Xenopus tropicalis: one gene and its partner. The protein of the gene in region 2 binds, or shares a complex with, the protein of the main gene of each other region. Links are inferred from orthologs where the notes say so. Each region holds a gene or a part of one and is shown on either strand. Other genes may lie near its edges. The genes, in order: tns2 and dlc1.

Region 1 (3,825 bases), on a different chromosome or scaffold from region 2:
GTGGTGGTTGGCCAAGTCAGTCCCAGCTGTGCTTTGTTGGCAACTGTTAAAGGAGCAGATCCGGCAGTTGTAGGGCTATGTGTACTGCACGAGGTACATACTGGCATGGCATTAAAATTGCCAAATACAACCTGAAGGCCTTTAATTGCCAGTAAAGTTTTCACCCCTTTAGATCAGATTTGTTTTTTTAGAAACATGAGTGGTTTTGGTTCCCCCTTTACCAATCTAGTCCTTGGTGTTTAAACATCACAGGATATTACATCTGTCTCAATGTAATCTAATTACCCATGTGCTTCTATCTTGTTCAACAAGAATATGTCACTTATCAATGTACAAAATACCAACCCACTGGTGATGAATGGCCTTTGTTGCACTCAGACAGTCCATTGGGATCCACTTTTGCCCCGTCAGCTGGAGAGTGATTTTTTTCTGGCAGTCGTGGTGGCTGAATACTAGGTGGGCATGGACTGCTGGAATAATAGGCAGTTCTAATAGGGAATGAAGGAGTAGGAGAAGGAGGCAGGAGATCACTTTGACTTCCCATTGGGGATTTTGGTGGGCTGGTCGGTGCTTCTTTTCCTTGGGGATTTACAGGGCTGACTGGCAATGATATAGTGACACTTCTCTTCTGGAGTAGAACGGTGTGCTTCGGCACAGAAAAACTCTGAGAACAGTAACCTGACCCAAAAGCAGTTGTACCACTGGGAGATGAGATAGCAGGCCCAAATGTGGTGTGACTCCTTTTAGCCTCTGATGTTACTGGCAGGACAAACTTAGTTACATGTGACTGGGAGGAAGAAGTTGGCAATAATGTATTTGCTTCATTTGCACAGGGGGGAGCATTCACATGAGTTGCTGGTAACCCAGGCCTGTAAGTAAGAAATAACATATTCTCTTGTCAGAAAATTCCAAATATTTGTAAAGGCCACTTAAAGCAACATATTCATTCAGTATTTACTACTGTGCATCTACTCTTCCTTCATTCATTGTTATTTGCATAGACCAGCGTTTTTCAACCGCTGTTCCGCGGCACACTAGTGTTGAGATGTTGCCTGGTGTGCCGTAGGTGAAGACAAGACTCCCCCGGTCCCCTCTGGGACACCTTCCACTTCCTGGCTCCATGATGCCCGGAAATCGTCACTGCCTGTGACGTCATCCGGCATCGGATCCAGGAGGGCGGAGCAACCAGAGAGGAGAGGCAGCACTATCCTGCCCTGGCACAACCCGACCGGGGGGAGCAACTGCCCAGGCCCTGCCCCGACAGACCAGATCCACCAGGGGCCAGGCCCATGCACAGCCGCCCTACTCCCCACCGGAGGACAATCCTGGGACACCCCTGGATGCCGCAGCCTGACATGTAAGAAAACAATTAATAATAATATATATATAAAATTTTTGTGTGTATAAAAAAAAAATAAAAAATCAGTGGGGGGGGTGGGTTTGTGGAGAAAATGTCCCGGAAAATACTTTCTTTGTGTTTATTTGATTCCTATTCAAGAGAATTACTTTATATATAGTCAATATAGGCACAGAGTTAAATTTTTTAATGGTGGTGTGCCTCGTGATTTTTTTCATGAAACAAGTGTGCCTTTGCCCAAAAAAGGTTGAAAAACACTGGCATAGACAAACAGCATTATGGGATACTACATTGAGGAAACTTGAAGCTTAAAGAAACATAAAGCAGGGGAAAGCAGAGCAATAAAAAGTATGAGATTGTGCTTAAGGGCAAGGGCACACTGGCATATTGTCAGCTTGCGGATAAGCGCAGGCTCCCGTACGCTTACAAAAATCTTATTATTGTGCCTGCACCCAGTAGCATTGAATCCACCTGGTTGCAGGTATGTGATATCTGCCAACAACTGCCAAATCTAAAATAATTTTTTAAGCGCACAGATGTATTGTCAGCCTAGACTTATCCACAGGCTGATAATATGCCAGTGTGCCCTTGCCCTAAAGGAAAACTATACCCCCACAATGAACACTTAACCAACAGATAGTTAATATCATATTAAGGAGCCTATTAAAGAACTTTACCAAACTGCAATATATATAACAGTAAATATTGCCCTTTTACATCCTTTCCCTTGAGCCGCCATTTAGTGATGGGCTGTGTGCTCCCTCAGAGATCAGCTGACAGGGAATAATGCCGCTCTGACTGTAACAGGAAGTAGTGTGGGAGCAAAAGGCAGAACTTATACACTGTCTATTAGTTGGCTGATGGGGCCTAGCATGAGCTGTATGCAATATATTTTTATAGAGACCTACACTGTTGCCAGGTATAGTTTTCCTTAATAACAAGGAAGATGAGAAAGCTGCAAAAATATTTTTTCTCTTAAATCAAAATAGGCAGCCCTGCTGTGTACAAATGTGTATTATCTTCTAGCATCTTCACTACCATATTTATAGACTGGTTTTAGTCAGCTTTATCTCATCTGTACTGCCTTTACATGCTTTATTTAGTGCAACTTTAGCTGCAACTGAAAAGGCAAGTAGAGAAAAGTCAAAGTGAGTGGCCCTATTTATGTTTTCCTTTGGAGCCACCAGCAGTCCAACACTGACCAGAGATGGCCGGCACTGGCCCAAAAGAATAACATATAGAAACTAATTTAGCTGCATGAAGTAATGCAGATCATTCATAGCTGAGAGGTGGCAACTGCAAAATGTGAAAGGTAGGAGGGTGTTCCAAGAAACCCTAGTGATATTGGCAAATCAGCTCTGTAATATATATTATAGACATAAGGCTTATTCACAGTAAACAGAAAATGAAGGCAAAAATACAGTTCAGCCAATAAATGTAATTTTATATAATTTAATTCCACACTTACAATAAAAAACCTATTTCATTAAATTAACTTCTCAATATGGTTGGCTATTGCCTGTCTATTGCACTACTGACATTTATAATGGACTTACATAATGGTCATTAAGCATTCTTCTTTCTAGAGAGAACTGTACCACATATATTCTCACCTCTCAGTAACTACAGTGCTGTTTGGATGCGTAGGCACAGGTTTCTGGGTCGGCACCGATGGACTCTGACCACCAACGGTTCTGTACAGCTGCGTGTGCACAGTGCTGTGTAATTGGGCTTGACTTGCTTTAGGCACAGGATGGTGCAATTGTACTGGAGGGATTTGACTCTCTATAGAATTGTCTGTCTGCACCAGCTGACTCTGGGTATGGACCGTACTATATGGCTTTACTGATGAATTGTTTACACTTACAGAACTGTGAGATTGGACCATTTTTTGTTGAGGCCGATCTGTTTCTGTAAGTGCAAATGCTGTGGTCACAGGTGTCTGATCCTCTGAAATGTGGGTGTGATTAGGAGAATGTGGATATGAATTGGTGATCTGCCTGGCTACACAGTTGCCCGTCTGTGGTTCAGAGGGCAGTGCAGTGTTATGTACCTCTTTACTTGTGTTTTGTGTATGGTTGGAGATGTCTGATTGGTCAGGTGAACTCTTTGTGTTGACTGGATTGTTTGTTGGAAATGTCAGGCTGTGTGTGGGCACATTGTCTTGTGCTTGTCCACGTTCATCCAGTGAGTGCAGCTGGCCATGCCCTTGTACAGCCAAACTCATATGTTGGCTACTTCCATTTAACTGCACAGACGGACTGGACAACTGTGCAGTATGGCCTGTTTGGGAAGATGGACTGTGTGTTGGGGATGCAGGGCTTGTTTGACCCAAAGGCTGACTTTGAAAAGCTGCGTTCTGTGTGTTCATGGCTGGGTTGTGCGAGGGAGATGTAGGACAGATTTGCCCCTGACTATGATTTCGAAGCACTGGATTCTGTACATGTACAGACAGGCTTTGTGTGGGG
Region 2 (3,825 bases):
GGTGGCTTTCCACAATCGAAGAGGAGGGCCTTCGCACACCTGGAATATAATATATGGTTGGCAATGAGAATTCATTTTTTCTTCCAGCAACCTAATGCCCCATGTAGCTTAGTAAGAGCATTAGAAGGTTCTTAAATGCAAAGCTTCCTCTGTGCCTGCCAAGGGCCTTATCAGTGTTATTGGGCCCCAAAAAAGCTAGGTGATCCAGTCAAAGCACAATACATTTTTTTTCTAGCTTCTGAAGTGCAATATGCTGTGAGATTAAAGAGCCATAAAAGGATGGATGATTACCCAGCCTGCTGTCTCATTTGGTCTTAATGCATATTTACTTGGGGTTAAAAAGTAACAAGAGAAAAGGACTTATTTATACAACAATCCGGATAAATTCATCTACATCAGAGATGTCCAACTTGCAGACCCCAAGCTGCAATGGGATGGGGGAGAATGGGAACTCATTGTGACAGGTTTACAACAGTCTGAGGACTGCAATTTCATTCTACATTGCCATGGTTTCCCCTGTCATGTAACTACAGCCCTGTGGCTTCCAAACATCAATTCACCTTTTTGTAAGAGAGATCTGCTTGCTCTGATGTCGAACAGTTGACCCAGCCTTTGAATTTGTCTTTAGCATCCTTGAGCAAGACGTCAATGTTCTCTTGAAGGTACGACTGATAGTCACACAGCCCCTCTGCATTGCCATTAACAAGCTCCTCCAGGCACACGGGTCTCAGGTCGTGCTCCATGTATGAATTACGGCACTTGCTCATTTCTTCAGGAATCTAGGGAATGAAAAAAAGAGCAAAATGTGAGATTTCAGATGAACAATAAACCAGTTGTTTTAGCGATTTACTGTATTTATAGCAAAGAATGGGTATTAACCGTTATGCGACATTGTTATTATTAGCAGTAAATCCAAATTAATTGACCGTGTCAATGCTGGGGAAATATGCAACATATGCTAGAACGAGCCTAATCCTGGAGGTTTAAACCATTACATAACTGGTGCTGGTACCATGAAAGGACTAAGACTTACAAGAAGTAATAAAATACGGAATAGCCCAGAGGCTGAGATCTAGGAAACATCGCAAAGCGCTTACACAAATGAGTGAACCACGTTAACACAATCTGACCTTGAAAAGTTTCTTGCACTCGGCAATCATGTGAGCCAAACCCTGAGTGGCAGCAAGGTTTTCATTCAGGTCCTTCTGATCAGGCTTTCCTAGACTCTGCTTTCTGTGCATAACCCTGGAGTAAAATGAGAACATAAGCAAAGGTTACACCGTGCAGGCCATGGCAGGTCTTATTCCTCGAACAAGCCAAATGCTACTTGGAAGTTATTCTATGGTAGGTGGGAGGTTCTTAAATGGCAGTTCATTTTGGGATTAACTTTTAGCCAATCTGGAAATGTTTGTATTTGTTCTTTTTTAAATGGTTGCTGGATCAGCTTAACGAGATCCAAATGTGATATCTTAAACTGAAATACTTTCTTATGGAAAGAGAATGAAAATATTGGATGAGGCATATGTCACTGCCACTCTCTGTTGAGTAGGATGGTCAACACCGTTTTATATGGATAACAGACTGCTTAAAGTGTTGGGTTTAACAGCTTTGAATCTGGATCTGGATAACAGACAAATATTCATTTATATTCCATGAGCTTCTTATGCTCCTTATTAGGGAGTATTTCAATGGCCTATGGAGTGCATAGTAGGGATGCACCGAATTAGGATTCGGTTTGGGTTTTGGCCTTTTTTAGCAGGATTCGGTCGAACCCATGCCCTTGACTGAACCTAATCCTTAAAATCATGTGACTTTTTGTTATATCACAGAAGTTGACATTTTTTCACCGCACGGCAAGTGTACGGTTCTCTTTAACCCTTCCTTTTTCTAATGTGCATAAGCAAATTAAGATTTGGATTTGGTTCTGTATTTGGCTGAATATTTCACAAAGGATTCAGGGTTTGTCTGGATCCTAAAATAGTGAATTCAGTGCACCCTAGTTCTGAACATGTAGAATATGGTAAATCAGACTACAGCAGATTGAACACTGACCAGCATTGATCTTTATTTACTGTTCTACAGTTCAAGCTCAGCATGCTACAACATGTCTAAGTACCTGGGAGAGGAGTTCTCTCTTTTCAAGGTGTTAAGGTGGAACAAGGAAGGAGCCAAGCAGACAGCGAGGTTGGTGGGGGTCATCTGGTTCTCATCTACAGCTGCTGCAACATCACTCAGGAAGTATAAAAGGGTTTGCAGGACTTCCCTGTTTTCATCAGGCAACAGCATAATGGCCGCCTTGATTGCCTGCAGGCGCTGCTCCTTGGGGACATCTGCGCAGAACAACAGACACCAGTCAGGAAACAAAAAAAATTAACAGTATAAAGTGTACACCAGTTCTCAGTGCAGGAATACCAAATTCTAAGATTTTTACTGTTGTGAATTCTTTGAGCCAGCCGAGGATGGTGAGAGTTTCACAGGTGGAAGACCACAGGCTTGATGTCCCCACTGGCCCTAATAAGTGCTTGTTGTGCCATACTACCTTGTCTACAGGGGCTGAGCTGCTCCTACTGTTTTAGTGTGTAAAAAAGTTTTTTTTTGATTCTTATCAAGAACCAAGTTTGTCATAATAAAGACCGATTGGGGGCCCAGGGCTATAGAAGATCCAAAAATGTTTTTAAGGGTTGCAAACCCTTCTACTTTGATCCGGAGAAGAAACGGAGAGGTAGGTATCGTACAAAAAATGCTTAAAGGGGTAGTTCACCTTAAATTAACTTTTATAATGATGTAGACGTTGATATTCGGAGGCAATTTGCAATTGGTCTTCATTTTTTATTTCTGATGGTTTTTCAGTTATTTAGCTTTTTGTTCAGCAGCTCTCCATTTGGTATTTTAGCAGCTATCTGGGTGCTAGGGTCTTATTTAACCTAGCACCCAGGCAGTGGTTTAAACAAGTGATGGGAATATGAATAGTAAAGGGCCTGCATAGAAAGATAAGTAATGCAAAGTAACAATAATAATAAAGTTGTAGAGCCCCATTTGCAAGCTGGGAAGAGGCAGAAGAGAAAGGCAAATAATTTAAAAACTATAAAAAAAATAAAATAATGAAAATCAATTGCAAAGTTGCTGGATGTCGGGCATTCTATACCATACTAGAAATTAACTTAAAAGGCAAACCACCCCTTTACTGTAAGTGGCTCATTAAAAATGATAGAATAAGCTCTTTACATTGCCCATACTGTTCAAATAGAGGTACAGTACCCCATTTAACATATACAAATAGAAGGGAACCATGGGAAGACAGATGGAAAAAAGTAAGAGAGGAAAGATCTTTGGCATTAAGGCCATCAGTCACAGGAGCTAAAGAGATTAACTGGAGAGCAAAGGAGAAAGCTCTGCTTCCCATACTTCACGTCTGTAAAGTAACTAATAGGCTTACTAATGCAAATACGTTCTTCTCTAAAGCATGAATAAGAATAAAATCATGGAAAAACGCCGGCCTCTGACAAATGCACGTGGAAACCTGAATCACTAGCTCTATGGTTACAGAGCACAACAGACACCTCTGGTTTCCATAAGCCTCAACATGGACATTGACCAGAACACTTCTGTTTTCAATAAGGGCTTTCAAGCCAATACTTTCAGGCCAAACAGCTTTAACAATAAACACTCTGTATCAATCAATAGCCAAAAATGTTTCAAGCACAAATTACATGATCCAGTGAAGCGCAATGACAAAAATAAGCACAGAGGGGAAAAAAAAAAAAAAAAAAAATAGATGGAGTACCAAGAGAGTTGAGAAGTATACTGTCAAACCAGTAATCCTGG

What was found.
Region 1: the proteins of dlc1 (region 2) and tns2 are in contact, whole or in part, in an NMR structure (PDB 2LOZ), measured with the Homo sapiens proteins. The link is inferred for Xenopus tropicalis from reciprocal best matches to the Homo sapiens genes DLC1 and TNS2. Residues at the interface, in NP_001335010.1 of Homo sapiens: Glu811, Asp812, His813, Lys814, Pro815, Gly816, Thr817, Phe818, Pro819, Ala821, Leu822, Thr823, Asn824; in NP_736610.2 of Homo sapiens: Asp1268, Leu1269, Leu1270, Arg1271, Gln1272, Gly1273, Ala1274, Ala1275, Cys1276, Lys1317, Ser1319, Ala1320, Gln1321, Thr1324, Leu1387, Asp1388, Pro1389, Asp1390, Gln1391, Val1403, Leu1404, Leu1405, Gly1406.

What each region holds. Positions count from the first base shown.
Region 1 is NC_030678.2:147,556,254-147,560,078, forward strand, and holds part of tns2 (tensin-2), read right to left. Parts: coding exon 2,971-3,825; intron 870-2,970; coding exon 346-869; intron 1-345. UniProt on the Homo sapiens protein: Tyrosine-protein phosphatase which regulates cell motility, proliferation and muscle-response to insulin. Phosphatase activity is mediated by binding to phosphatidylinositol-3,4,5-triphosphate (PtdIns(3,4,5)P3) via the SH2 domain.
Region 2 is NC_030677.2:41,038,504-41,042,328, forward strand, and holds part of dlc1 (rho GTPase-activating protein 7), read right to left. Parts: intron 2,331-3,825; coding exon 2,117-2,330; intron 1,246-2,116; coding exon 1,131-1,245; intron 780-1,130; coding exon 561-779; intron 40-560; coding exon 1-39. UniProt on the Homo sapiens protein: Functions as a GTPase-activating protein for the small GTPases RHOA, RHOB, RHOC and CDC42, terminating their downstream signaling.